5 linked regions of the Macaca mulatta genome follow. The protein of the gene in region 5 interacts with the protein of the main gene of each other region in a pairwise test. Links are inferred from orthologs where the notes say so. Each region holds a gene or a part of one and is shown on either strand. Other genes may lie near its edges. The genes, in order: MYO9A, PLEKHG4, CDC42EP1, CDC42SE1 and CDC42.

Region 1 (5,387 bases), on a different chromosome or scaffold from region 5:
GTTGTGAACAGGGCAGAATATTGGATTCACAGTTGGTGTATTCAGGTAATGACAAGCTCCAGCATCTGCCCATTGGAGAAAGTAGCTTAGCAAAAGTGGAGGAAAATATTGTTAGAAGTTGCAGACATAAAAGAACTTCAGTGTTAGGATATTGAGATGAATTTTTACAAAGATATTAATTGAATAGATCAGGTGATGTCAAGCATTAGTGAGAAAGCAAGGTTAGGAGCTGAGTACCAAAGACATCACGGAATGTGGGGCATTACTGAGAGGCAGCTGGGTGACTGATGAAGAAGGAAGACTAGAGAATGCGATAACTAAAGATGGCATAAGCTTCAAAGGACAGAAAAGATCAATCAGTGTTTTTCTTCATCTAGAGGTCTCTGTGGTGAAGGTAGAGGATATAGTCCACAGCTAGTTAGTAAGCTTCATGGAAAATAGTTTAGGAGCTGGAAGGAATCTTAGAGGTTATCTAATTTAATCTCTTTGTTTTGTGGTAGGAAGCTGAGGTCCAGAGAGAGAAAGGTACTTTCCTGATGCATTATGGATATTATGAACAAGGTTAGAGCCCTGATCTCCTGATTATCAGTCCAGAGTTCATTTTACTGAAAGATCTCACCACGACAGCATCTTCACCCTACTCTTACCCCTGTTATTGGTCCTAGATTGACTATGATTTTATCCTTTAGTCCATATAGTTTTAGCGTTCACCATATTTGGCATCACCACCTGGATGGGGACAGTAAAAATGGACTCTCTTTGCTTCTTAGATTCCTGACTTTCATGGAGGATCTTTTTTTCTGTTATCTTCCTTCCACTTCCTATCAAATATGCTAATGGTTTCTTGATTGTATCTTACAGGGAAGAGCTGACATTTGAGATGCTTGTACTGGAACCCCGTGCCTCTGATGATGAAACTCTTGAGTCTGAGGCCTCCATTGGGACTGCTGATAGCTCAGAAAATTTGAATATGGAGTCTGAATGTGCTATCTCTGAGAAATCAGGTAAGTGAACATGGTAGACCAAAGACGCCAGATTTGTTTTGCAAAGGAGGAATAAAGATTCCGAAACCAAGACAAAGTCTTTCAAGAATGCACTGACCATACATCAGCAGTAACAAAGTCCTGAGGAATTTTGTCCTTTTTTTTTTTTTTTTTTTTTTTTGAGACGGAGTCTCACTCTGTCCCCCTTGCTGGAGTGCAGTGGCCGGATCTCAGCTCACTGCAAGCTCCGCCTCCCGGGTTCAGGCCATTCTCCTGCCTCAGCCTCCAGAGTAGCTGGGACTACAGGCGCCCGCCACCTCGCCCGGCTAGTTTTTTTGTATTTTTTAGTAGAGACGGGGTTTCACTGTGTTAGCCAGGATGGTCTTGATCTCCTGACCTCGTGATCCACCCATCTCGGCCTCCCAAAGTGCTGGGATTACAGGCTTGAGCCACCGCGCCCGGCCAATTTTGTCCTTTTATCCATATAGTTTTAGCCTTCATCGTTTGGCATACAGGTCCTTATCACTATCTGGATGGGGATAAGAAATGTAATTGTCTTTGCTACTTAGATTCCTGACTTCCATGGAAGGTCTTTTTTTTCCTGTTGTCTTTGTAAAGCTTCCACATACATTGTTTATCAAACCAACTCTTTAGTGTGATTGAGTTTTGTTTGTTTGTTTTGTTTTGTTTTGTTTTGTTTGGTAATTTAATGTTTTATCCTGTACTTACCACAGAGAAAAGCCAATAATCACAATATATGTTGTCTTACTGACCCATGACCCATTTTCTGAGCGTGGCAGGAATTGTGCCCCACTGTGAGGTGGGACTATATACATATACAAAGGAGGTGTTTAACTGGGTGGCATGTCTCAGGGAGATGTAGAACTTATCTACATATCCCGGCAGTTTTTAATATGATAGTGACTGTTCTAGGCCTCCACTGGTGGCATAGTCAAACACCAGATTTCCTTGAGGATGATTCTGAACTGCTATATAGAGAAATGGATGGTGAGCTCTCTTTGACTATGACTGTGCCCATAGTAAGTCAGCCTGGAACCTCCAAATCTTATCCCACCCAATTTCATGTGTGAACAGTGACACCTATTCATTACATGATGATTTGCTTTAGAGGGCACTGTCATTTACATCTTTGGTCTCTTTTTTGCCTCAGAGAGAAGCTTAGCCCTTAGCTCCCTGAAGACAGCTGGCAAGTCTGAACCTTCCAGCAAGTTGCGAAAGCAGCTTAAAAAGCAGCAAGACTCTTTAGATGTAGTGGACTCTTCAGTCTCCTCTTTATGTCTGTCTAACACGGCATCGTCTCATGGGACCAGAAAACTATTTCAGATTTATTCCAAATCTCCATTCTACCGAGCTGCCTCAGCTAATGAGGCCCTGGGAATGGAAGGACCATTGGGCCAGACCAAATCCCTGGAAGACAGGCCTCAGTTCATCAGCAGAGGAACCTTCAACCCAGAAAAGGGCAAACAAAAATTAAAGAATGTGAAAAACTCACCTCAGAAAACCAAAGAGACCCCAGAGGGAACAGTCATGTCTGGCCGCAGAAAAACTGTGGACCCAGACTGCACCTCCAACCAACAGCTAGCACTCTTTGGAAATAATGAATTTATGGTCTGAACCGGCAGATGTGTGTCCCTCCGTGGCTACAGAGTGGTAAACACATCTCACCTTTGGGGCTGCGTTTCATCACCTTGTCCACAATAGTCCATCCTAATTGTGGTCCTGCCTCTTTTCTAAGCATATGGCTAAGACTGTATGTGCTGAATTCCTGGGCCTCCTGCAGAAGCAGAAAGCCTGCTGGGGATGGTGCCAGCTGTGCCTTGGCTGCTGTATTTGAATTGAGATTTTACTAAACAAAGCCACCTAGGGCCTGGGGATTTGGGTCAGTTATAGTTGCCTCTCCCCCACCCTCTTTTCCCTTCCCAAAGGTGGGTGTTGAACTAGGGGGGATATTGCTGACCTGAGGGACCCTCTCATTTCTGACATTTGAAGAAAACGTATAAATCTTTCTTAACTATGAAAGCAAAAGCCTTTGGGTTTATTTTGGGATAGTTAGGAGCTGGGGTAGAATATAATTTTTTTCCAAAAACTTATAAACAAAAAGCCTAATCCCTCTATTTTAAGATTTCTGAAAAAACACTCCATGTTATATTCTGGGGAAAGCAAAAAAAGTGATTGTTTCCATTAAGCCATCAGAGCGTGTCTCAGATATCTTGTTATATGGTGAAGAAGAGAATACCTATTTTGTTTTTGATGATGTTTGATGTCATAATAATCAGTGCTGGTTTGACTCCTGTTTAGTTCCTGCCAAATACATTGCATGGGCTGAAGTGTCAGTAGCCATACTGTTCTCATATTTCCTGGTCCTAGGATCAGATTCTTATACTTTAATTTTTAGTTTCCCAGAGACATGGTGATCCCTAAACTTATGAAGGTTCCATCCTAAGCCATTCAGGCTTTTCTCTTTGTATAGATTAAACCGAAAACCACATATGAGCCTGTTCATCTGCTGGTGGATTCCCACCACAGACTCAAATAATGTGACCATTTAGTTAGTTCTCCAAAAATATTCACATACAATATTGCATGAATAAGTGTTACAGAAAGCTGCCAAAAAATAAAAAGGTTTTTAATATGACCTATCTAACTTTTATCTTCCTTTTCTCAGACCATCAGTATTAAATAGATGGAAAAAAATCAAGGACTACTTGAAGCTATTTTTGTTAATATTCTGGTTACTGAAGTTTATTGTAAATATGTATGTATAGTAGGCATATTTCTTTTTAACCTTGTGCTTCCCTCCTTCCCATGGAATTTCTTCCCACAGATTAGGGGCCACTGGACAAGGGGATGAGAGCCATTCATCCCTGGGTTGAGGGAATAGTAAGACATCATTTTCACCACTGGGTGGTCTTCATACACATGAGTTGTAATAACATTTTAAGTATCTTAGCATTTGTGGGAATAGAAATCTGTTTTTGCTATTTATAATATATGAAAAATGAAACATGATAGCCTTTCTCGAGATAAGTATGTGAAATGTTTATTTTTAAAGTTACTAAATGCATCTTGTCTTGCTACTACATGCACTGCTCTGAAAAAGAGCCTTTACCATCTATAACCTGTATTTTGGTTATTCTTCCTTTTCATACTTCTTTGAAGTTGTGGAAATATTAAGTCTTTTGTTAAGGCAGAGTCTCTCCTGTTACACAACACTGAACCTCATGCCACTGCCTCAGTGGTTATTGGCCAGCCCCAGAGGTTAGACTTGGAGCATAATTCTGAGTGGCAGCTAAAGGTAGCAGGAGTTTTACCTCTCCCTGCTTTGGGTTCAGAATTGAGCCAGAGAAAGGAAGCTTTTAAAATCTCCAGAATAATGATGGTTAATGAGCAAATGTTATGCTTTATATCCCACAGACATCTGCCACCTTGTTTGTCTTGTCCTGGGGAGTACTAAATGTTAAGCTTTTAAAAATCTGAATTTCAGAGAATCTCCTAGAGGACAGAGGAAAACCCCTCAGCATGGTGTGTCATAGTGGGATTGCTGGTTCCTTAGCCCCATGCCAGGTTGCACAGTCTGTGTTTCAGTGTTCTTGGGGGAGTAGTGTGCTGCTGGGCATTAATTGTTACTCTGCACTTACTCCAGAATGTTGGTTAAATCCTGTATTTAAAAAAAAAAAGAGATTGCCCTTATCAGATAATTTCCTGTGGCCCAGAGGAATGGCCAGGAGAAGACATGTTGGCACATGTTCTTCCTTCTAAATCTTTGTGAGATTTTTTTGGTAAAATAAGTTTTTTGGCAGTTAAAAAATGACTGATGTAAGTCACTTTATAGGAACTAGCTGATGGATGTTAAGAGACTTTATAATTTTTCTCAGGGACCTGAAACTCCAATTTGGGTAAAATTCAATTAAAAAAAGAAAAAAAGAAAAAACTTGTTTTTTTCAGTTGCTAGATTTATGTGGATTTCTAGACATTTAATCTGCCAGGATTGGGGTGGGTGGGTGAGGAGGAGAGATCCACAAAATTGTAAGAGTGGAGAGCAGTGTGGGGCCCTCCCTTTGAGGGAAAGCCGTTGTTTACATAGGGTAATAGGCCTTGTTGGCCTGATCAAGAGATGAAGCCATAACTCCTAAAAACCTTCAGAACCAAATGCTGTGTCTGCATCCATCTGTTCTCACTGGCCCTCTGCATGGTAAAGTTATGTCACCACAAAGTGATGCCGCGTTACAGTCACTTATGAAACTGTTAGCCCTTCGTATGCATCACACTTGTGGTTCCATAGTGCTTCTCCTTTGCTTGTTTGCTTTGATCTGCATGGCAGCAGTGGGGCAGCTCCACATTTGGAGCCCATACTCCAAAATGCAGAGCACTCTACTTCTAGCA
Region 2 (6,075 bases), on a different chromosome or scaffold from region 5:
TCATGCCTGTAATTGTAGCAATCTGGGAGGCAAGGCAGGAGGATCACCTGAGTTCAGGAGTTCAAGATCAGCCTGGCCAACATGGTGAAACCCCCCTCTACTAAAAATACAAAAATTAGCTGGGCATGGTGGCAGGTGCCTGTAATCCCAGCTATTCGGGAGGCTGAGGCAGGAGAATCACATGAACCCGTGAGATAGAGTTTGCAGTGAGCCAAGATCGCACCACTGCACTCCAGCCTGGGCAACAGAGTGAGACTCCGTCAGAAAAGGAAAAGGAAAGGAAAGGAAAGAAAAGAAAAGAGAAAAGGAATGAGGGGAGCTACAATCCCGTACTCACTTGTAGTTGGCTGAGCCCAGAGAAGAGGGAAGAACTTGGGGAACAAATTCGGGCATCAACTAGCACTGTCAGTCCCAGTGCCTGTACTTCGGGCCTAAAGGGGTGAGCTTCAGTTCAGTACCTGACTCCCAGTCCTCACAGCTGGCTCAGGCTCAGTCTCCCAACCCCCACCCTCAAACCTGGGGATGCTTCGCAGGTACAGCAGGAGGCGGATGAGTTCCTGGCTGCTGCACTCAGGCTGAAGCCAGGCTGGGCTGTGGGCACACAGAAGCAGTACTGCCCGGCCTTGGACATCGCGAGTCCCTATGGGGAGGAAGCAGTGAACTCCTGCCCCATTGGGCCACTCCACCTCCACCGCCTCTAGGCCCTCCCAGCTACCTGGCAAGGTGGCCATACCACTGGCCAGCAGCTCCCAACAGAGGTCTTGGGCCAGGAGGCAGTCAGCAGGCTTAGGGAAGCTGGATCCACTGGGGGCTTGGGAAGGGAAATGACTTGGGTCTGCCTTGGGCCACCTATCCAGAGACCCCTCCTTGGATCCCGGCTTCAGCCTGAGTAGGGTCAGAGACCTCCAAGGTCTTGACACTCATTTCTCCAGGCATCCCTATTCCCTTCCCAGACTTCCCTAGCCCAGCCTTCCTTACCTGCCTCCAGCAGCTTTGATGATTTCTCTGATAAAGGGTCTCCAAGGCCCACAGGGTTGCTGTCCAATCCCCCAGGGCTCAAGCCAGATGGCATCACCCTGCTTGGACCTGGGTCCACTACCAACCCTACCCCTGGGGTGTCACCCTCACCCTGTGCCAAGTTGAGGTGGGAGGACATGGGGCATAGGAGGCTCTCCACTCCAGAGGGACCTGGCCCTTCTGACAGGACGGAGGAGCTTTCTACTTTGCCCCTGTGGGGATCCCCCGACTCATCTGCAGCCAGGAGTAACTGAAGCTTCCTGGACAAGGGGCTGCCCTGTAGCCCCTCATCCTGGGCGGCCCCGGTTGGTGGTCTTGGAGGACCCGGGTCCTTAACCTGCATCTGGGAAGCAGGTTCTTCCTCTTCCCAGGCATCCCTGAAACTGCACACAGCAAATCTCCAGTCGGTGGCATGGCCCTGGGAGTCTGGGGACTCATCCCCATCCTCCAGGGGCCTTTCCATCACGCCCTCCTAAAGGTGGGCCTGCTCCGGGCCAGTGGGAGAGGGCTGGGCCTCAGTGTGAACCAGGCTGAAGACAGTCGAGTGGGATTCAGTGGGCAATGCAGGCGAAAGGCATGGGCCGCAGAAGGTGCCAGTCTTAGTGCCAGGGCACAGGAACTGCAATTCAGGCCTGGGGAGAGGGAATAATGTTAGGGGCGTCCCTCTGTCCAGGTCCCCTGTCGGACGCCCGTGGGCCTCTGTTCCGTGCGCGCCCACCCTCAGCGTCCCCACGGCCACTCTCTGCAGGCCCATGCCCATGGGGGCGGCCCCGCCATGGCGCCACGCTGCCTCGTATTCGCTCTCCCGCCGGCCCCGCCGGGCCCTGGCCTCGTTGTGGGGCCTGGCGCGCGCCCCACGTCGCCCTCTGGCGACACTCACGCCCCCGGGCCGCTTCGCGGGGAACCGCGAAGCCGGAGAGCCTTCGAACAGACGGCGGCCTCGACGGCGAGTACAGCGTGCCCGCGCGGCGTCAGCGGGCACCGCCTCCTGGCCGCTAGGGAGGGAGGGCAGGGCCGCCGGGGCGCGGCGCCGCGCCGCGCCGCCCCCTGGGGGCCGGAGGACGGAGCCACAGCCCGCGCAGGTCTCGACGGGGCACAGCCCGGCCGGCGGGGAAGATGAGGTTCCGGCCCCCTCAGCAACCCCCGCTCGCCGCGGTCCTCTCCACGGGCCCGGACGGCCCGCCAGCCCCGCCCCGCCGCAACCCCGGGCCCCGCAGATCGCGCGCCCCACCCGCGGCGTCGCAGTGCGTGGGTCGGGGCAGCGACCAACGGCCGGCAGCACCACCGTGCCCACTTCCCGGGCCTGGCAAGGACGCCGGAAGCGCTGTCCCGCCACGAAGGCCGCGTGGGTGCGCAAGGGTGAGTGCGCGGCGGGGGGGGGGGGGCGGGGGGGGGCGGGGGGCAGTGGCGGGGAGAGCACTGCGGGATGGGGAGGGGTGGGGGCTCCCAGGGGCTTCCGCGGCTGAATGAGCAGACGGCAGACGGGAGGGGAAGGGCTTCTGTGTAGGGAAGCGGGACGCTGCCTCGGCGCGGGCACCCAGAGACAGGTCGCATGATCCCACGCGGGATGGGGCTGCCATCGGGGTGGGAGTGAGACCAATGGGTGGAACTGATCCAGGCCTGCCAGAGTCCCCCAGATCCACCACCCCTTTGCCATCCGTGGCACCCCCTTACCCCCTTCTCCACAAAGTCCAATGCAGGAGGCTGGTGCTGAGGTGGGGTCCTGGAGCCAGAGCACCCAGCCCAGGCCTGGCTTCTCCACTTACCTGCTGGGGGCTCTCCAGGAACTCTGCTCTTTGAGCCTCACCCTCCTCACCTGTAAAAATGGAAAGTCATTTTTCTCCTGGGGTTGCCATGAGTACTGGGGAAGACTCCCTATGTTATACGTCCACCTGCTGCCAGCACTCAGGCTGTGTTGGTGCCCTGCCCCCTCATTTCACCCTGACCACCCCCAGTCAGGGAATCCTGAACTGATGAAAGTCACTTGGGTAGCTGTGTGATTTAAGTTCCCTTTGGGGCATGTGGGCCTGGCCTGACACTCCCCAGAATTTGTGGGAAGATTGTGGGAAGGTCAGCTCTGTGACCAGGAGAAGACCTTGAGCCCCAAGGTGTGCCCAGGCCCATGGTCCCTGGGAAGAGGGGGCACCCGGTGCTACGGCTTCCCTGGCTCTAAGGCAGGCGCCTCTTTCACGAACGTGGGGATGACAACAGGCACAGTAGGACCAACAGCAGTCTCCCCACCCAGCCCAGCCCAGCCCCCAGAGTCCAGACTTTCAGGCAGCTACCGAGGAACCTTCATGAGCAGGTCTGGCTGCCAGAGGGGAGCCTTGGAGTTGTCCTGCTCTATCCCTAACTCCCAGCCAGACCTCTCTTCCCACCCTGCTGGCTTCAGAAAGCATCTTCCAACCTTGGCTTCTTCCCCGGTTCTGTCCCAGGGCCACCCCCACTGAGTCACTGCCTTCTGCTCCCTCCCTCCCCTTCTGCTGCCCACTGGCACCCACCAGCCAAGGCCCCCAGGAGCCCTAAGAGCTGGGAGGGACCTGCTGGCAGGCACACATACCCCTGTGAATGCCAGAGGCAAAGAAAAGCCTCAAGCCACAGGCTATAGCTGACCCTGGCACTCTGGGCACAGCAGGCAGATTCAGGGGAGGTACAGCCACACTGAGATAGAGGCAGGGCTAGGCCCTGGTTTCTCCACTCCACAGAGAATGTGCATTGTAAGCTTCACGGAAACAGAGACTGTATGTTATCCACTTCCGTCCTTCCAGCATCCGGCACAGGGCCTGGCACAGAATAAATGCTTTGGGGCGCTTGACCCTCATCACACTACCCCTGCCCTCCTGAGGCTCCACATCTATGTATCAGATGGAAACCAGAGTCACAAATGGAGACAGATTCAGAGACTCAGCCTGAAAGGAGACAGAAGAGGCAGAGAGCTACAGGTTGCATGGCCCCAGGATGGCAAAGGTACAGATAGAAATGAGGACACACTGAGGCCTAGTGGGGAATATTGGGGAGCTGGGCCTGAAGCCAGCCAGGGGTGGCTGACCACAGCAGGCTTTGTGGGCTGAGCTTGCAGGACTGAGCAGTGACTCATGGGGCCCATCTCTGTGGCTCTCCTGGCAGCAGAATCAACTCACAGCAGCCTTTTCCACTGAGATCATAAAATGGGAATGGGCCTCCCTCCCCTGACCCTTCCCCAACTCTCCCTCAGCCTCCCATTTCTTGCCGACGTGACTCAATCAAAAAATAAAATGGGCCGGGCACTGTGGCTCATGCCACAAAATCCCAGCACTTTGGGAGGCCAAGTCAGGGAGATCACCTAAGGTCGGGAGTTCCAGACTGGTTTGGCCAACATGGCAAAACCCTGTCTCTACTAAAAATACAAAAATTAGCCAGATGTGGTGGCGGGCTTCTGTAATCCCAGCTACTTGAGAGGCTGAGGCAAGAAAATCACATGAACCTGGGAGGCAGGGGTTGCAGTGAGCCAAGATCACGCCACTGCACTCCAGCCTGGGTGACAGAGCGATACTCTGTCTCATAAATAAATAAATAAAAAGGGAGGGGAGGGCTCTGGGCCTCACTGGGCCTAGTGACAACAGACCCATAGTCATTCGCCTTGCACACCCCTCTTCAGTACTACCCCAAATACTGAGGGCAACAAATACCCCAGAACTTCCAGACCTCACTTGCCTTTGACCTAAATAAACTCCAGACTCCTTGGTATGACAGTCAAGGCCACTTAGAAGCATCACAGCCTTCCCATCTACCTCCCAGACTGGCCTGGAAAACAAATCTGATCACTAGTCTAGTCTCACACTGGCTCCTCTTCTTGAAGGCCCATGCCCATCTCCCCTAATCAAAATCCTTCCTCCATTGAGGCCTGGGTGCAGCACCTCCTTCACGAAGCCTTCCCCAGCCAAGTTCTTTCAGCTCAAGCCACCCTGTCCAGTCACATGGCAATGACCCATGGATGAGCGCTTGATGCATTTGCTCTCCTGCATCCAAGACACCTGCCTACCTCCCCATCAAACCCACCATGCTCATCTGCCCCATGACTGCAACCTCTGCCTCCCAGGCTCAAGTGATTCTCCTGCCTCAGCCTCCGCAGTAGCTAGGATTACAGGCGCGTACCACCATGCCCAGCTAATTTTTGTATTTTCAGTAGAGATGGAGTTTTGGCATGTTGGCCAGGCTGATCTTAAACTCTTGACCTCAAGGGATCCACCCGCTTCGGCCTCCCAAAGTGCTGAGATTATAAGCATGAGCCACCACACCCAGCCTGACAAATAATGACATTTATGATCCCTTACCTTGAGCCAGGCTATCGGTAGATTCTTCCCATTAAATTTTATCATTTAATCCTGACAGCAGCCTTATGAAGTGAGTATGATTATCTCATTTGAGAGATGAGGACACTGAGGCTCAGAGAGAGCATGTAACACACCCAGAATGACACTGATGAGTGGCAGCTGGGGCTGTTGACTTGAAAGTGTTGACTACAGCTGGGTGTGGTGGCTCACACCTGTAATCCCAGCACTTTGGGAGGCGGAGGCGGGTGGATCACCTGAGGTCAGAAGTTTGAGACCAGCCTGGCCAACAATGGCAAAACCCTGTCTCTACTAAAAATACAAAAAATTAGCCAGGCATGGTGGCGGGCACTTGTAATCCCAACTACTTGGGAGGCTGAAGCAGGAGAATTGCTTGAACCCGGGAGGCAGAGGATGTGGTAAGTCGAGATCATGCCATTGCACTCCAGCCTGAGTGACCTGAGTGATAGAATGAGACTGTCTCAAAATAAATAAATAAATAAATAAATAAATATTAAAAAAATAAACTGTTGACTACTAGTTAACTACAAGGCCTTATCACTGTGGACTGTGCACAACCTGAAGGCAAAGCCCAAGTCACTCTTCCTTCTCATCACACCTTCCCTGCGCATAATGCAGAAAAAGTAAAGGTAAGTTGGCTTAAAGTATAACCTTCCAAGTGTCTCAGAAGTCCTTCAGATCCAGAGAGCCAGAAAGTAAGTTAGTTATTACCTAGGGCTGAGGAGGG
Region 3 (5,999 bases), on a different chromosome or scaffold from region 5:
ACAGCCTACATGGAGATAGATTTCTATCTGGAGACAGGCTGCAAAGGAGGGAGAGGGCTCCTCTCTGCCTTAGCTTACCCAGATGTAAAAGGGGGCAAGAATTCCTGATTCACAGGTTTCCTGTCAATGAGCTGGAGAAGACAAAGCATGTGGCATATAGTAGGGAGGTTCTCAACCACTTTTTCTTTCCTGCCGGCCCTCCCTGCCCACGGGTGAAGAAGATGGAGCAAGCATGGGGCAGGTTGTAGCCACTTCCATCAGGACTGCTTGCTCGGTCATCTGCCTGGGGCTCACAACACCCAACTAGTAAATACCCACACTGCTATTATACCCATTTCAGAGATGAGAAACTTGAGGTTCACATGGGCCAAGTGCTTTGCCCACGGTCAGCCACTAGGCCGGGATTTGAGCTCAGGGCCTTTGACATTGCACCAAACTGCCTCCTTTACCACCGCTCTAGGGATCCTCTGACTAGAGTGACGTGTAATTGATTGTCTAAACAGGTCACCTTTGAGAATGAAAGGAAGTGCTATTAATAATTACGCTGGAACAGTATGTGTAATCTGGGCTGTCCTAGGCAAACTGGAAAGTATGGCCATCCTGTCAAAGTAGGGGGTTTTACGCAAATCACTTCACTTATCTGCAAACGGGACACCATGGCAGGACTTTCCCCATGGGGCTCTCACAAGAATTAAATGTCATAATGCTTGTTAAGGAGCTACAGGACTTGGTATGCATCAGGTGCTCATTAAGTGCTGGTTACTGCTGATGCAATTAATAGTAACAACCACAGCATCACTAGTTATTTGCTTCCATCACTGTCCTTCCAGTCCATTCTTCACTCACAGTCAGACTTCTGTTTTGTTTTTTGTTTTTTTGAGACAGAGTCTCGCTCTGTCGCCCAGGCTGGAGTGCAGTAGCATGATCTCAGTTTACTGCAACCTCCATCTCCCAAGTTCAAGCAATTCTCCTGCCTCAGCCTCCTGAATAGCTGGGATTACAGGCGCCCACCACTATGCTTGGCTAATATTTGGTATTTTTAGTAGTGACATGGTTTCACCATGTTGGCCAGGCTGGTCATGAACTCCTGACCTCAAGTAATCCGCCCGCCTCAGCCTCCCAAAGTGCTGGGATTACAGGCGTGAGCCACCGCAACTGGCACTTTTTTATTTTTATTTTTTAAGACGGAATCTCGCTCTGTTGACCAGGCTGCAGTGCCGTGGTGCGATCTCAGCTCACTGCAACCTCTGCCTCCCGGGTTCAAGCAATTCTCCCTGCCTCAGCCTCCCGAGTAGCTGGGATTACAGGCACCTGCCACCACGCCTGGCTAATGTTTGTATTTTCAGTCAAGACGGAGTTTTAGCGTATTGGTCAGGCTGGTCTCAAACTCCCAGCCTCAAGTAATCTGCCCACCTTGGCCTCCCAAAGTGCTGGGATTACCGGCGTGAGCAACCAGCCTGCCAACAGTCAGTCTTCTAAATCTACACCTGCCAGTGCTGCCTGCTGGCTCACTGTCCCGATGCTGTTTCAATTCTCCATGGGACAAAATGCTCCTGGGCCAGCCCCCCGGGAAAGAGTTCCTACTGCTGTGCCACTTGAGCAAATGCTAGAATGCTTTGTGCCTCCGTTTCCTCATTTGTCCAGCTGCAGGAATAGCTCCTTCCCTTGGCGGCCAGCATGGGGATTCAGGGAGCCCGTGGAAGAGGCCTAGCCCCTGGGTGAACAGTAAAGACCTTGTCTCCTCCACCTGTGGGTAAATACGGCTCCTCGTCCCCTGCCACAACAGCGCTCAGCCAGTCTCCTCCAACCAGGTTTGCCTCCGCTGCCGGGTCCTCCGCTCCCAGCCTTTGCTGTGCTGTCCCCCTGCCAGCTGTGCACGATGCATTTCCATTGCCCTTCCCTCTGCCTACACGTCCTTTAAGACTTAACTCACAACCGCGCAGTGGCTCACACCCATAATCCCAGCACTTGGGGAGGCCGAGGCAGGCGGATCACCTGAGGTAAGGAATTCAAGACCAGCCTGGCCAACATGGCGAAACCCCCTCTCTACTAAAAAATACAAAAATTAGTCGGGCGTGGGCGGGTGCCTGTAATCCCAGCTAGTCTGGAGGCTGAGGGAGAATCGCTTGAACCGGGGAGGTGGAAGCTGCAGTGAGCCGAGATTGTGCCAAGGCACTCCAGCCTGAGCAACAGAGCGAGACTCCGCCAAAAAAAAAAAAAAAAAAAAAAGACAACTCCGGTATCATCTCCTCTAGGAAGCTTTCCTGAGGCCCCAGGACCTCAGGCAGTGTTAGGGACCTCCCTGTGCCCTGACAGCCCGAGGACTCTATAGTCAGAGGAGAGTAGTCAGAGGAGGGCACGACAACAGGAGGCGGGGGCCAGAATCTATCTCCCCTCCTTGATGATGGCACAGGGTCCCGGGTATGGCTGATTCCTTGCCCCCCCCCCCCATGGAGGTGGGGGGGCGGGATCTGTAAAGTCTCTGAGATGCGACCTCATTTACCTGCCAAGCAAGCCTCCTAGGTGCTCTTGGAGCACGGGACACTTGACACAACATCTGATGCTGCTATTATCTATCCCACTTTCAGATCAGGAAACTGAGGCAGAGAAAGGTAAGTAGTGACTGAGGCAGGACAGGAGCCCAGGCTGTCCGGCTCCAGGGTCCCGGCCTTGACTCTACCCGTCGCCCCAGTGTGGCTGTCTTCCTCCTGGGCACCGCGAGGCCTGTACCGGGTGGAAGGGAAAGAGAATCCGGAGGAAAGGAGTGGGCATGTCATGCTTGTAAACATCAAAGTTTAAAGGCCCAGGCATTCAGGGCCTCAGATCGAGCTTCCCGATTCCCCAAACTCCCGCAGGGCGCTGCTGGAGGGCCCAGGAGGGAGGCGAGTTCATCAGGCCTGGACGCCCTAAGGCCACGCGGGGAACCGGTGGAGGAGGGGTTGGCGGCCGGGGACCGGAGTCGCCTCCCCGGGGCAGCCCGCACGTTCCTCATCTGACCCTGGCCGGGGTGGCGAGGAGAGAGGCCTGGCCTGGCCCCCCAGTCGCGTCCCCGCCAGCTCTCGGCGGCGGCGAGGACGGTGCCGAGGAGGGGGCCGGGGAGGGGGCCGGGCCCCGCCCGCTGGCGGGAGGAGAGGGGCGGGAGGCGGGAGCGCCCACACCCCGCCCCCGCCCCCGGATCCAGCCCGCTGAGCCCGCGGCCAGGGCGGCGCAGACCGGCCCAGCAACTCTCCCGGGCTGCCAGCCGGGACGCGCGGCCGCCGCCGCTGCAGAACTAGTCCACCCTAGTCCCGCGTCCCCGGGGCTCGCGAAGCCAGGTAACAGCTGGGGCGCGCGGGTCCTCGGGGCGGAGTCCGTGGAGGCCGGCGAGTCCGGGCGCCTGCGAGGGCTCTGCACCCTCCTAGGCTCTCGGGGCCGGGAGGGGGACCGGACCCGCCCGGGAGAGGCGCCCCCGGGTGCCCACGGGAAGGCCGGGCGCGGCCGAGGAGCCGCGCGGGGAAACTCCGAACTTTCGGGCTTCGTGTCCCATTCCGGGCGGGCGGAGGGGGCAGAGGATCGGACGAAACTCAGCGGCCAAACTGCGTGAGGAGGAGGCGAGCCGAGGGACAGAGCGAGGGCTGTCTCCGCGCCTTCCTGCGCGGGGGAAGGAAGGGCAGGGGCCGGGAGCGGGCGACGCGGCGGAATGTATCCCCTCCGCCGAGGCCCACGCGGAGAGCGGGAAGTGGGGGGTGGGGGACCCGGGGAGATGGACAGGCACCCTGCCCCCTCCCCGACCGCCGCATTCCAGGCTGGAGCCGCGGATGAGGTCATCCCGTCCGGTTCCCCTCTGGCCAAGACAGCTGGCCGTCCCCTTCCCCCGCGGAGCGACCCTCCGCGTCCTGAGCCCCAGGCTCCCGCGTCCCCCCAGGGAACGTTGGGTGGTCGAAGTTTTTCCCGGACTTCCAATCCCGGTCGCCCTCCAGATTGTTCTGCCTTTGCCCCAGCCGTGCCAGACCCGCAAGATTCGAAGCCCCTTTCCTAAACCGGGAAACTGAGGCTTAGAGAGGAGAGAGGACTGGCCGGGAGGCCGCAGCGACACGAAACGTGGCGCGGGAACCCGAGACGCAGCTCGCAGCCGCTCCTCCTCGCCTGGTCCACGGCTGATTTGGCTCTAACTCGGGGCGGTGGGCACGAAGCGCGTCTCCTTTCCACTTTTCCCGTCGCTCCCCAATGGCCCACGGTGCCCCCCTTGGAATACGGAGGACCGGGTCCCCTAGCGCGACTGAGAACAACTAGCTACCCCGTTCTGGCCTGTTTCCCCGTCTCTCCACCTTGAAGCGTCTGGACTTTGAGGGGAAGGAGAAGCCAGCCGCCCGGGTTAACCCCTTAACCCAGGGACCAGAGCAAGTTTGGGGGAGCTGCCGTAACCAAGACAGGGACCCGCTGTCCAGCGGTAGAGGGCGGGGGCATCACCCAGCTGGATGCCCGCAGGAAGGGGGCTGTGTGCACCCGAGCAGTGACCTCCAGGATGAGACGTGGGCCCCTGGCCAGCACTGCGGCCTGCGGGTGACCCCCAGGTGAATGCCAGGCTGCAGCCGTCCCCGCTCTCCTTCAGAGCGGCCCTTGGCCTCCCCGCGACCACATGTGCCTCCACAGCGGCCCCTGTTGGCCGGATCCTGGCTCCAAAACTTGTTCTTGCGTCATTCCCACCATTGAGTGAGCTCAGGCCATGCGCCCAGGCCCTGACTATCCTCTATAGGGTAAATATAAGGACTCCAGGGACACTGAAGCTGTGTGATGACCTCCTTGCCCAGGTCACAGACGCTGAATCTGCAGAGCTTGGTCTCCTGTCTTCCCAGGCCTGCACCTGCACCCCACACCGTGCTCAGCACTGGGCATCCAAGCCCTCCAAATCCTCTTCCCCATTCCCCATCGTCTTCACCCCCACCCTGGGGCATTTATCAGCGATGCTGGCCTGTGATTGAGGGTAAATGTCTCCTTTCTAAGTTTTGTTTTTTCCATCTGTAAAAGGGGTGTTCTCAATACTAACGGGTGGTATTCCTGGGCAGGTGAGGGGAGGTGAGCCTGGCACCAAGACACTTGGAGCCGTGCTTACTCCTAGTGCCAGGTGAGGCACACCTGATGGCCAGCAGTGCCCTGTGGTTGGCAGCAAGTGTCACGTGGCTGCCACCAGGGGTCCCTGTAATGAGAGATGTTAGTGTAAAGGTGTCAGATTTGAACCCATAGCTGCCCTGCTCTATCCAGCATCTGAGGGTTTCATTACATTTTCTACCCTTGCAACTCCCCTGGGAGGGGAACTGTCTGGTGTGCTGTTCCCGTTTTCCACATGGGGAGGCAGGTCCCAGTACCCTGCCCTCAGCTCCACAGGCCTGCAGAGTCTCTATACTGCAGTAGGCAGGGTGGCGTGGGGGATGGGTACTATTGGGGGGTGCCCAGAAACATTTGAAAGATGGGATCATCACAAGATTGGGGAGGAAGCTGGTGCCCCAAGTCAAAAGTGGCCATGGGGGTTCAGGGGGGAGGAGCCCCTTTTGCTGGGAGAAGAGGTGCTGCCTCAAGAAGTCAGGGAGGCCAGGTGTGGTGGTTCACACCTGTAATCCCAGCACTTTGGCAGGCTGAGGCAGCAGGATGGCTTGAGTTCAGGAATTTGAGACCAACCTGGGCAATGGAGTGAGACCCTGTCCTTACAAAAAGTGGAAAAACTTAGCTGAACGTGGTGGTATGCGCCTGTAGTCCCAGCTACTCAGGAGGCTGAGGTGGGAGGATCGCTTGAGCCTGGGAGTTCGAGGCTGCAGTTAGCTGTGATGGAGCCACTGCACTCAGCCTGGGTGACAGAGTGAAACCCTGCATCAAAAAAAAAAAAAATAAAAATAAAAAAAAAAAAAAAATAAAACAGGGAGCTGGGGTGGGAGCAAGTGGGTGAGGCCACATGGCAGACCCTTCTACAGGGCTTTTTACAGAGGAACACCCTCCCCACTCCCATTCCTTCCCCTAGAGATGCA
Region 4 (6,181 bases), about 100 Mb from region 5:
TTCATCTATCTTTACATCTATCATTATGTTAAACGGTATCATTTACTTAAAGGGTTTCGACAGTGCCTTGTACCACAACATATGTTCAATAAATGCTTCCCACTAACCTTCATTTTAAATTATCCAGGTATTTTAGGTAAAGGCAATTTCTAATTATCACTCTGTTCTTAGATATACATGATTAGCAAATATATAGATTAGAAAGATACATCTCTCTCGGAGGCACACAGACACACCCAAATATCCTTTGTCCAGACCCTTTGTGGGCATCCAAGGCCTACTCAACAGGGCCTTGCTGTGTCATGCTGCCACCATGGGGAATGGGGAAAGACAAGGTGGTGGTGGTGGTAGAGGGGAGTGGAAGCTCTCTGGCATCTCATAATGTGTGCCTCAGTCAGAACTTGGATTTTCCTATTAGCATTCCCCCACCAATTCCACTGAGCTGCAAATAATCATTCTTTTCCAGAATCTGTCCCCATAGCTAGCTCCTGTGGGCTATACTGATTTCACTATGGAATCAGGCAGTTCTCCAACACAGAGGCCCCCACCTTTCCTACCCCAGGCTGCCTCTTTCTTTGGAGCAAAGATTTGAGGTGGAGTGAAAGAGATGGTCCAAAGAAAGGTCAGGATTACACTGAACATTATCCCATATAACCCCCTCCCAAACTCCCTCCTACAGAGAAACATAGAACACTACGGAAAAAAATTGCAAGTATAGGGAAGTAGAGGGCAGAGAGATACAGTAGGACTAAAGATTCATCAAATAGCTGGTAGAACAAATTATGGTTTGAAAAGGAAGTAGACTGAATATATTAAATACACAGGACAATAAATTACAGAAAAGGATATCTGAAATAAGGAGGTAGGTGCTGAGAAATAACTACATGTAAATTGTTAGAAATTAATGGTCTGTACAAGGTAACAAGGCATGGATGCTGTGAAGAAATAACTACCCATTGTTCATAGCGCCCCCTTCTCTCCTCTTCAGCTGTCCCCCACCTTATGTGGGGTCTTTCAATCTAACCATAAGCAGCCGCTCTTCTATCTTTGCAGCCCCCTGCCCCCCTCCCTCAGTTTGGTTTACCTGTTATCAATCAATTACTGGCGTGTTCCAAAGATGGAGGGAGTGCCTCGGGGGCTCCGGGATCTGTGCCGGGCTGGAGAAATACAAAGCTGTTGGGGCTTTGACGGCTTTGTCTTCTCACTCCTTTTCCCTCTTCAGTGACTGAGTCTGTCAGTTAGCTCTCCCCCTGCAATGCAGCCCCTCCTAAGAAGGGCGGAAGGATTTCCCCGCCCCCTCCTGCCTGACTCGGCTAATTCAAATGATAGGTTCCAGAACACTTGAGGGAAAGAGACGATTAAAGCGTCTCCGTAGGCTCATTGGTCTGCGCTATTATTCCCGATCTCCTCCAGCATCCCCGTGCTGACTAGGGGCGCAATGAATGAGCAGTTAATTGCCCTCTAATTTTAGGTCCTCTAATTTATGGACTTGAAATCTTAACTCTAGACTACAATGGAAAGTAGTGTTCCTCTCTTCTACAATTTAAGGACTTCAGGTTACAAGGTATTTTTAAGAATCATATTTTTCCACCCGTTCTCCCAATCCCTGATCCTCCCGACTCGCCTCTCTACCCTCACAATGGGTAAATAAACCTAGTCCTATTCCATTTTGGGTAGAGCACAGAAGAGATTTGGGGTGGGGGGGCGTGCTTCTGCGAATCTCTGAACTTGGTTAGGTCTCGGGGTTTGGGGGGCTCCGCTTCGTTTTGCCCCGAAATGCCTGGCGCGCAAAGGGAACTTGAGATTTCAGGGGCCCCAGCTTGGGTACCAGGCCCTCATCTACGTGTCCGCATTCTCCAGTTCTCCCCTCAGGGGCGGCGGCCTTGGGGGGCTGCAGAGGCACCCTCCCACGCCTCGCACAGTGCAGTGCCTCCGCAGTCCAGAGGGGAGCTGTGCGCTCGGCTCCTAGCCGGACGGGTTTCGTAATCGCGTCGCCGCCGCTTCCGCCCTCAGCCGGCCCCACCTCTGCCGGCTCGTCCTGGGCTCCCCCACCGGGCCGCAGAGCTAGCCCGGGAAGCCCACACTGGCGGCCACGGAGCAGAGCCCCTCACCCCCGCCAGCTGTAGCTGAACGTCTGGATACCGGAGAAGAGCAGGTGAGGCCGTGCAGTTGGTCCCCCAGCCCGCCCGCCGCGCCGGCAGGGCCAGGCGGAGACACACCGGATGCGGGGTGTGGGGAAGGCGGATGTCTTGGGCTGCAGAGATGCTGGGGCGTTGGGAACGGGGTGCGCGCCCGGGGTGGCCGTCCTCATCCACCCTCCTGGGGTGCGCAGGCTGAGGCCGCTGAAGAGTAGAAGGAAAAGAAGGAACTGGAATGTTCGGGTGGGGGTGGGAAGGAGAGGGTCCGAAAGATTCCCAGGGAGGTCCCAATCCGGTTAAGGGTTGGGAAGAGCAGAGAACTTCTGGGTAGAGTTGGGTAGTAGGGGGAGACAGATATGGAATCTGAGTGATTGAATATATTTGGGGAGGGGAGGCTTAGGGCCTAGCCCTCTTTCCTCTTAAGCCCCCAGAAGACCTTTCCTGGGGAAGGGGAAGGTTGGGGCTGGGCCTGTCACTTGGCTGAAATATGGAGTCCACTCCACTTCTCCAGAGCCCCTCCGCAGCCCTCCATGTCTAGGGGTCTGCACACAGGGACCAGCTGCTGCCCCGGGCTTCTAGCCAGAATTGCCCATTCCATTCTCTCGATTCTTTCTTTCTCTCCAGCTGCTTCATGTGAGGGCTTGTCAGGCCGCGGGTTGGAGGCCTTAGGGCCAGAGGCGGTGGGACCGGGTGAACCGGTTTGGGGCCCGAATGGGACCAGAGAACTAGCCTGTACATCCTTCCTCCCTGGCACCTCTTTCCTAACCCTTCTGCTCACCTCCCAACAGCTTTGAGACCCTCAAGTCCTAGTGTGATCTTGGTGGGGGTGGGGGGTGGCTTTCCCGGTTCCATATTTCACTCTTGCCATTTGGAACTCAGAGAGGCCGAGTTCTGAGCACCAAGGACGTGGCCTTATGCAGTCTAATCCTCATCCCTCCTGTTGATTTCTCAGCCCCTTCCCTACCCACTGTGGGGTTGGATTCGGTGGCTCTTCCGCCTGGGCTGACCAGCTCAGGACTTCATTTTTCCTCAACCCACTCTCTTCTGGCTGCTTTAAAGAAGAGTGGCCGCCAGTGGCTCTTACTTCCTTTTTTTGGCTTTGTTCCCATCCCCCCTTCCCTGCGCTACCATCACATTCACCCTGACCTGTCTTTACACTCTGACCCCACCCTCAAGTTTCAGAGACCCTAATGTCCTAGGGAATGGAATTTCCTGGTCACATCTCGTCATCATTGGTCATTTCATGCCAAGTCCCACACACACACTTTCCCTCCACCCAGCTCTGGTCAGGTCCCTGGAAAAGAAACAGAAATGGCCTTGTTCTCTGCACTGCCCCTTTCCCTCTCTCCTCCTCCCCCTCTCTTCTCCTCTTCGCTCCCAGCACTATCCACCTCTGTCCCTCAGCTTTGAGCAGGGCAGGAGATGTTGAGGGAGAGTCCAGTCACAGTACAGCCTGCCTGCTGGTGTTGGGGGTTTCTTCTAATTCTTCATTTTCCCCCAACCCTTACCACCTGCCACCACCACCATCAGGATAAACCCTATGACTGACTCACTGACGTCCCACTGACCACAGCTCTCCTCTCTGGACAGCTGTGTTTTAGCTTCCGTTCCTTCTGGTTACTCCTCCCTTCCAGTGGTGAGAAGGGAAGTAAGAGAAAGCCTAGCCTCCTGGGTTCTCCCTTCCCCTAGACGCTGCATTTGAGTGTTTGTGTGATCTCATCTCAAGGCTGTTAAAAAACCTCTCTTTATGTGTGTATGTGTGTTGTTGTGGTTTTTTTTTTTGTATTTGAGACAGGGTCTTGCCCTGTCACCCAGGCTGGAGTGCAGTGGTGCAAACATGGCTCACTGTAGCCTCCAACTCTTGGGCTCAAGTGATCCTCCTGCCTCAGCCTCCCCAGTACCTGGGATGACAGGCGCATGCTACTACACCCTGCTATCTTGTTTTTTTGTTTTGTTTTGTTTTTTTGAGGTGGAGTTTCGCTGTTGTTGCCCAGGCTGGAGTGCAATGGCATGATCTTGGCTCACTGCAACCTCGGGTTCAAGCAATTCTCCTGCCTCAGCCTCCCAAGTAGCTGGGATTACATGCATGCGCCACCACACCCAGCTAATCTTTTATATTTTTAGCAGAGATGAGGTTTCACCATGTTGGCCATGCTGGTCTCAAACTCCTGACCTCAGGTGATCCGCCCGCCTTGGCCTCCCAAAGTGCTGGGATTATAGGCGTGAGCCACCACGCCCGGCCTATCTCTTGTTTTTAAATCAGTCTGGGGTGCCAAAGCATCAGTGTTCCTGGCCTGGAAGAAAGGGAGATTCCTGTTCATGTTAAAGTGTCGTATTTATGAAACTCCCCTTTTTGGAATCTTTGAGGTTGTCTGTACTATAGGACTGGGGAAATGCAAGTGAGTCTAAGAAGAAACCCAGATGTGTCCTACCCTGGCTGGCAGTAGTGAGAAGGGAGGAAGTTCTTCCCTGGACACTAGTACTATTGGAAAGTTCCTTGTGTCTGGTTGACTGACGAAGCTTGAGGATGGAATTGGTGAGGAGGGAGGGGAGAACAGGTCACAGCTGGAGGGGAGCCTGGGCCCTATAGAGTGTGAGGCAGAGCAGAGTGGCAGATAGGACATGTGGACGGTGGGGAAAATATTCCTCATGGGACAGAAGATACCTGGCACATGTACCCACAACCTGTACACAGATGATCTGTATTGGACACACGTGGAGATATGGCCATGCCACACATGTGCAAACAGAGGTGTACACACAGGAGTGCAGTGATACAGGACACAGATAAACAGAATGTACACAGCCTTCAGGAAGGATCTCAAGGTCAGGTAATAAAGGAACTGCTAACTGGCTTCTGGGAGGGATTGGATTTCACTGGAGGGAAATCAGGAGGAACAGCGCAGCAGAGGGGGAAAACATTTCTCATTGTAGAAAGTCTTTCCTGAGGGCCAACCTGTCAGTTAGTCTCCTAGGACCTCAGTGGTCCAGGGCTCCCCTGTTCTTAAAGAAACTCTAGCATTCAGGGCAAGGTAAGAAAAAACGCAGGGACAGGGTGGAGACCTTGTTTGTGAGAACAAAAAACCACTATTTCCTCTTCAGAGTCACTTAAATGCCCCTCCCCTTCTGCCCTAAACTCAGAGAGAAGGGAGCTGGAGCTTCTAGCACCCCAAACTTTGCTAATTTCTGCCACTGTCCTTTGGTCCTCGCCCATCCTTTTAACTCTAAGTGCTTCTAGCCCCCTTCCTCTCCCTTGGTACCACCAGCCACTGCTCCTTAACCCCTTGGTGGCCTTTTGGTTCTGTTCCTTTATCTTAAGAGTCAAACTGAGGTTTGTAGTGTTTGGGAACGAGTGTTGGTGTACAGGTCTCGGGCCTCTCAGGGAGGACTGAGAAGATATAGGCTCATCAGGAGGTTTCTCAAGGATTGGGGGAGGGGGAGATTTCTCACTGATCTTTCTTTTTACTTTCTTCTAATCCAGGGTTCCGAGTCTGAGGAAGACATAACCTTGTGCCTGCCTGCCCACCTCTCTCTCTGGTCCTGTTCATCTTCAGGCTCTGAGACACTGACCTTCACTGCTCAGTTAAGGGTTCCAGGGATTCTACTTTCTCTGGACCCATCCAGCTGAGTGAACCCAGGGTGTTGTTATATCTGGGGAGAGTGAGGAGTGGGTTGTCCAAATACCAGAGCAAGAGCCCTTTGGGGCCTCAGACAGAGGAGTGAAGCTGGAACCATCAGGGAACATGAGTGAATTTTGGCACAAACTGGGCTGCTGTGTGGTAGAGAAACCCCAGCCGGTGAGTCTCCCCACCCCCATCCTAACCCAAAGAGCAGTCAATTACCATGTGCTGTGAGGTGGCCACACCATCTAGGATCTGCCATCTAAAAAGCACACTTCTTGCCTCCCTCTGTGTCAGGAGCGTCTATAGTCAAGCAGCTGTATATGTGGAATAAAGGGCATTGGGTGATGGAAGAAGTGAATAGTCCTAGCTATTACCTCCTGTTCCTGTCCATTCTGAGCTGGGCGGGGTTTGTAGGTGGAG
Region 5 (5,944 bases):
ACATCATAGGCTTTTTGGGAGGATGAAATGTGTGAATATGTGTAACATGTTTTGAACAGTACATGGCACTTAGTAAATGCTGTATAAGTGTTTGCTGCTTACTATTATTTGAGAGTGCTTTTAGATTTAACCAGTAATTGATCTTAGGGATGAGGGTTGTTAACCTTTAATGCTGTATTAGTATGGGTGCTTCTTAGTGCATAAAAGGGAAAGGAGAAGGAAAAAAGAGATATAAAAGGAAGTTGAATAAAGAAAGATAAATATGGCTGGCTGCAGTGGCTCATGCATGTAATCCCAGCACTTTGGGACTTTGGGAGGCCAAGGCGAGTGGATTGCTTGAGCCAAGGAATTCAAGACCAGCCTGGGTAACAGTGAGACCCCATCTCTTAAAAAAACCCAAACCAAAACCAATACAAAACAAAAACCCAGCCAGGCATGGTGGCATGTGTCTGTGGTTCCAGCTACTTGGGAGGCCAAGGTGGGAGGATTGCTTGAGTCTGGGAGGTGGAGGTTGCAGTGAGCTGAGGTTGTGCCACTGCACTCCAGCTTAGGGTATGGGAGTAAAACCCTGTTTAAAAAAAGAAAAATATACTGCAGATAATTTTGATGAGGAACGGGAGAGTGTGTATTTCCTGTAGGTTACTCACACTAGTGTAATTTCGTGTTCTTGATTTTTGCATCCTTTCAACAACTCGCAGTGTGCCAGTCTAGAAGTGCTCAGTGCTAGAAGTATAGTGGTGCTTGAGGTACTATAGGTTCATTTACAGGGATGTTAATAGGCGTTTATAAATTGTTATGATTAATTGTTGTGAATGGTGCTATAGGAGCATGGTGGCATCTGACCAAGAGTTAGGTGGTTCTGTATTTTTATGTTTAATTAAACCCTTTTAGGATTATAATTTAAATTAATTTACATATAAATAAATCTTAAAATTTAGGTATATATTGGGTGGTATTTCTTTTTATTCTTTCAGAAAACTGTTAAAGTATTTCATTGAATCTAAGATTCCAATTTCATAGAAGTCAAAATGTGGGGGAAAAATGGCTGATAATGATTGTAAGAGACTCAATAAAGATACATTCTGACTTTAGAGATGTTTAAATGAAAAAAAGTTTCTCAAATTAATGACTCTTTGGTACTTGTAATTGATAACTTCTTAAAATTGAGGAGAACTCGAATAAGAGAAGCTGTAGTATCTGTTTATAAGTCAGTATGCTTTAGAGCAGTCTGACTTTTCATTATAAAAATGTAGGTTTTGGACTAGGCATTCTGGTGCTAAAACAGCTGCTGAGGCCAGCGATCACCCTGTTCTTTGTTCAGTTCCTCACGTTACTCATATAATTCGTGTGAGGCTCTACTGCTTGTTGGTCAGAGCCTGAGTAAGGCTGAGTAAGGCTGGATAATGAACCATTCTTTAAAGCGGTGGCCTTTGTATTGCAGTCTAGTTCACATACATGCATACATACAGGTGTGTGTGCACGTGTAACCGAAGAAAAGCTTTCACAAAATAATATTTAGTACAGTATGTGGAATTTTCTCTGATACAGTCTCTTCTTTTTCATTATAAAAATAAATTTGCTGTTTATCACACCAGTTGGGACCTTCTGAAATAACACTTAAGAAGTTGAAACAGCCAGGGATCAGAAACTTAGAAATGAACCTTATTTGTTATTGTAACTTATAGCAAGTCATTGTTTCTCTTATTGGGTTCTTTTAGCCATAATAATTGTGCTAGTTCTTTTCTTGCTCTGAGTGCCTTAACCTGTTGCTAAGTGAGGAAAAAAAAATACATATATAAGCATAAACAAACATGTCTTTAATCTTTTTGCAGGTCAACATCAGATTTGAAATATTTAAAGTGGATACAAAACTATTTCAGCAATGCAGACAATTAAGTGTGTTGTTGTGGGCGATGGTGCTGTTGGTAAAACATGTCTCCTGATATCCTACACAACAAACAAATTTCCATCGGAATATGTACCAACTGTAAGTATAAAGGCTTCTTTCTGTTAGTAAAATGTAAAATTTGATACCCTTTTGAAAATTCTTTCTCTGTGTGTACTGAATTTTTTTCTGTTTTCTGCCTTTGTTTCCTGTTTTTAAAGATCTTGACTTCTCATGGGTAAATTATATACACTTTAAAATTAAACAGCTGAAAAATCAGTGGAAAGTCAGAAGGGGTGACACAAGGGTTTACAAGAAGTGCTGGGAGGCAAAACTCCAGTAGACAAGATTCTAACGAGTGGTGATCTCAATTTGGTGAAGTATGCCCTACATCTTGGAATGAGGTGACTTTTTTTTTTGGATATTTTGGCCAGTTATTGAACAGTACTTGGAGGTCTCCTGGGATACCATTTGGGGTCCTGTAACTTGAGAGAAAGTTGTATGTGTCTCCACTTTTCTTGTGGAACTATTCTCTTAGCAGTAATGGAGCTCCAAACTGGTTGTTAGGGGCAGAGAAGAGAAGACCTGTTATGTTATGAGAATACCAACAGAAACCTTTGGGGGTCACCCCCCACAACCTTTTTTTTTTTTTTTTTGGAGACGGAGTCTCTATCGCCCCTTCTATCTGGAGTGCAGTAGTGCGATCTCGGCTTGCTGCACCCTCCGCTTCCTGGGTTCAGGCAATTCTCCTGCCTCAGCCTTCTGAGTAGCTGGGATTACAGGTGCCCGCCACCACGCCCAGCTAATTTTTGTATTTTTAGTAGAAACAGGGTTTCACCATGTTGGCCAGGCTGGTCTCGAACTCCTGACCTCAAATGATCCACCCGCCTCGACCTCCCAGAGTGCTGGGATTACAGGCGTGAACCACCATGCCCGACCCCACAGCTGTTTTTTAAATCAGCTCTTTGGAATGGGAGAAGGAAGGTGGGAATAACAAAGATATTGAAGTGAGAGAGAGAGAGACAAGAGTTAGAGTAACACTCATTTGTGAAAGGTAGTGAGACGCTGTCTCAAAAATAAGTAAAGTTGTTTATTTTGAAGGGGGGAGAATTTGAAGGTATTATTAAACACTAAAATCACATTGATATTTTGAATTGGCCCATTTGGAGACAAGATAAATGGAAGATGTTGTGAGGTTCAGTGGACTTACAGGGGACGTTTAGAGGTATATGAATCTTGTTTCAGAGTGAGGACAGCTATCAGAGTTTTTCTGTTTTAGTTTCCATTGAAGTTGTTTAACTTGTAAACATAATTTCTGAGTCTTTTATGACTTTGATCTTCTGGTGTTGTATTTTAAGTGGGCTTGTGGGTTTTTTATATGTATGTTTGTGTGTACATCTCTGGAAAAGTGATAGGGTGGAAGGAAGAGTAGTAGAATAAAATTTTAAATGAGCCGATTTAGGTAAATGAATGGACCATGAGGCACAAATAATGTTCTCATGGTACCTGTTGAAGTTAGTATGGAAATGGATTTGGTGTAAAATGCATTTTAGTTCCCATCTATAAATTGGAGCTTGCCGTTTCTAGAGTAATAGAAATTCAGAGTTGAATGGGACAATACATACTGTCTTATCCATCGCTTATGGATGAGAGTACTCAGGCCCAATTTAGGGATGAGACTTAGAAGTCTGACTTTAATTACTTAGTGTAATTACACTAGGGAAAGTAGACTTTGGAATGGAAGCCAGCTTTTCTGATTCTTAGTCTGGTTTTGGATATGAACAATCCAGTAAAGGAGGGTTGTTTTTGAGTCTCTTAAGTGCGATTTAAGAAAGTTATGTGTTTGGTTTGAGAGCTTAATCACATTCATTCGATTTCTTTGTTCTTGTTTTTAAGAACGAACTTTCCTTTGTCATCTCCCTCAGGCCCTTGCTTCTCTTCTTCTTTACATTTAAATAAGCTCTTGAGCAGTCTGTTAAAACATAAATCAGAAAATCAGAGTAGGTACCCAAAGGTTAAGTAGGGCTGGTCTTAAAATGTGGCATTCTTCTCCTAGTTGGAAAGCTTTGCTTTTCTTTTTATATATATCATTTAATTTTTAAATTTTTATTGTAAATTGACAGATTATAGTTGTATATGAAAGCATTGCTTTTCTATTGTAAATTAATTCTAAAGACTCCAGAATTTGTGTTGGGTCTTTTCCCATTTAGCATTGTTAAACCTCCCATTTTCACACATAACTTAGTACAACCAATATTAGTATATGCTGTACTGAATTTGATAAGGGTTTTATGGTCTATTTACATATTAAGCATCTTGTTACAGAAGATGTCTCACATCATGCAGTTTGTGCCCAATAACATGAATTTTACTCACAAAATTCCCAGCTGGCCAGTCGCAGTGGCTCACACCTGTAATGCCAGGACTTTGGGAGGCTGAGGCAGGCAGATCATGAGGTCAGGAATTTGAGACCAGCCTGGCCAACATAGTGAAACCCCGTCTCTAAAATTTTCTCTAAAAATACAAAAATTAACTGGGTGTGGTGGCATGCACCTGTAGTCCCAGCTACTCAGGAGGCTGAGGTGGAGAATCGCTTGATCCCGGGAGGCAGGTTGCAGTGAGCTGAGACCATGCCATTGCACTCCAGCCTGGGAGACTCTGTCTCAAAAAAAAAAAAAAAAAAAAAAAAATCCCAGCAAATAATCTGTCAGCCTTTTCTTGGACACTTTGAGTACTTTGAGGGAACCGTTATTTCTCTCAAATGGGCTTGTTTGTAACAAGGCTTATCTTTTCTAGGACTCTGAAAGGAAGAAAGGTCATGGATCTAGGAGATTTTATTTCTAGATGAAAAGAAAATGGTCTATGAAGAAATAATTTCTTAGGAATCAGATTGAATGTTGAGGTAGACCACTGTCTCAAAAGTTTCAGACTTGAACAGGTTCATTTTGTGTAGCTAGAGGACTCTGCTCCTGTGACACCTCTAAGCCTTCTCTGGCTCTTTATCCAGGCTGCTGTGGTAGAGCAGAAATCTCAGAACACATCCTTTGTCTTTTTCCAGGAACCATTTAGCTCACACAAGGTACTTGGTTGGCAAGATTGGTTATATAAGGATGATGAATGAACTAAGGGACGATTAAGTCTTAGCAAGGAAACACTGCCTTAGCTTAAGAGTTGTTCTGTCCCATTTTAGCTCTCTCCTTGCACACTAACAGTGTTGTATTTTTTTTGTTTTTAGGTTTTTGACAACTATGCAGTCACAGTTATGATTGGTGGAGAACCATATACTCTTGGACTTTTTGATACTGCAGGTGAAAACTTAATGTCTTTTATACTGTTTTGATTTTTAACAGTTGCTAGTTGTTTGTCTCTTGTGGATATTTTGAGAAACTAGCACATGAGCAGAGTACTTGCCTTTTGTTATTAGTTAGCAGGATTGAATATAATGATCGTTGATGCTTGACCAAGGAGCAGTCCCAGACCTGGATTGGCAAATAGGAGTTTGGAGTACCCTGGGTGAACAGTGTAGTAGATGAAGTAGAGTGAGACTACAGTGCATTATACAAGCTCAAACTGAACTAAAATCCAGATGTGTGCACCTTGCAGAGAATTGGGGACTGTATTAGTGGTTGGGGAGGGACTAAGGGAATGAATTCATAGGAATCATGCCCACTGATTCTCTCCCTTCACCCCTACCTGCTCCGTTTTAAAGCCTAGAGTTTCCTAAATATGCCTAAGGTTGTAAGGTCATAAGCCATTTATAGTATTTATTATTATCACTCTCTGATATCTGAAGGCGTATTCAATTTATGTGTCTAATAACATGTTTAGTTTCTTACGATAGCTTATTTATTTTAAACTGTATCTGAAAATAATTTGAGAGTGAACTGTTACTTGCTCACAGTATTGACATTTGTCAACTATCCAAATTGTAAGAACAAATTACTTACTTCCTCAAATGTACCTAATTCCTCAGTGCTATTTCTTGTTTTCAAGAATGGCTGCACATCTTAATTTCTGACTTTTCTCTATGTGCCGTCTTATTATCAGCTTAGTTAGCCA

The links.
Region 1: the proteins of CDC42 (region 5) and MYO9A interact in a two-hybrid assay, tested with the Homo sapiens proteins (3 studies listed by BioGRID and IntAct). The link is inferred for Macaca mulatta from reciprocal best matches to the Homo sapiens genes CDC42 and MYO9A.
Region 2: the proteins of CDC42 (region 5) and PLEKHG4 interact in a two-hybrid assay, tested with the Homo sapiens proteins (2 studies listed by BioGRID and IntAct, with this or other methods). The link is inferred for Macaca mulatta from reciprocal best matches to the Homo sapiens genes CDC42 and PLEKHG4.
Region 3: the proteins of CDC42 (region 5) and CDC42EP1 interact in binary tests that used the Homo sapiens proteins (3 or more experiments, as listed by UniProt). The link is inferred for Macaca mulatta from reciprocal best matches to the Homo sapiens genes CDC42 and CDC42EP1.
Region 4: the proteins of CDC42 (region 5) and CDC42SE1 interact in binary tests that used the Homo sapiens proteins (3 or more experiments, as listed by UniProt). The link is inferred for Macaca mulatta from reciprocal best matches to the Homo sapiens genes CDC42 and CDC42SE1.

Annotation. Positions count from the first base shown.
Region 1 is NC_133412.1:49,451,867-49,457,253, reverse strand, and holds part of MYO9A (unconventional myosin-IXa), read left to right. Parts: intron 1-861; coding exon 862-1,004; intron 1,005-2,154; coding exon 2,155-2,618; 3' UTR 2,619-5,387. UniProt on the Homo sapiens protein: Myosins are actin-based motor molecules with ATPase activity. Unconventional myosins serve in intracellular movements. Regulates Rho by stimulating it's GTPase activity in neurons.
Region 2 is NC_133425.1:62,819,744-62,825,818, reverse strand, and holds the start of PLEKHG4 (puratrophin-1), read right to left. Parts: upstream 3,434-6,075; 5' UTR 3,303-3,433; intron 2,934-3,302; exon of another isoform or gene 2,834-2,933; 5' UTR 2,784-2,833; intron 2,341-2,783; exon of another isoform or gene 2,249-2,340; intron 2,052-2,248; exon of another isoform or gene 1,650-2,051; 5' UTR 1,481-1,649; coding exon 979-1,480; intron 812-978; coding exon 716-811; intron 641-715; coding exon 517-640; intron 432-516; coding exon 338-431; intron 1-337. UniProt on the Homo sapiens protein: Possible role in intracellular signaling and cytoskeleton dynamics at the Golgi.
Region 3 is NC_133415.1:13,982,270-13,988,268, reverse strand, and holds the start of CDC42EP1 (cdc42 effector protein 1), read left to right. Parts: upstream 1-1,856; 5' UTR 1,857-2,000; intron 2,001-3,209; exon of another isoform or gene 3,210-3,314; intron 3,315-4,790; exon of another isoform or gene 4,791-4,963; intron 4,964-5,999. UniProt on the Homo sapiens protein: Probably involved in the organization of the actin cytoskeleton. Induced membrane extensions in fibroblasts.
Region 4 is NC_133406.1:116,039,413-116,045,593, forward strand, and holds the start of CDC42SE1 (CDC42 small effector protein 1), read left to right. Parts: upstream 1-2,030; 5' UTR 2,031-2,155; exon of another isoform or gene 2,156-2,368; intron 2,369-2,864; exon of another isoform or gene 2,865-3,087; intron 3,088-4,833; exon of another isoform or gene 4,834-4,969; intron 4,970-5,619; 5' UTR 5,620-5,881; coding exon 5,882-5,935; intron 5,936-6,181. UniProt on the Homo sapiens protein: Probably involved in the organization of the actin cytoskeleton by acting downstream of CDC42, inducing actin filament assembly. Alters CDC42-induced cell shape changes.
Region 5 is NC_133406.1:218,931,570-218,937,513, reverse strand, and holds the start of CDC42 (cell division control protein 42 homolog), read left to right. Parts: upstream 1-1,844; 5' UTR 1,845-1,882; coding exon 1,883-1,987; intron 1,988-5,120; coding exon 5,121-5,193; intron 5,194-5,944. UniProt on the Homo sapiens protein: Plasma membrane-associated small GTPase which cycles between an active GTP-bound and an inactive GDP-bound state. In active state binds to a variety of effector proteins to regulate cellular responses. Involved in epithelial cell polarization processes.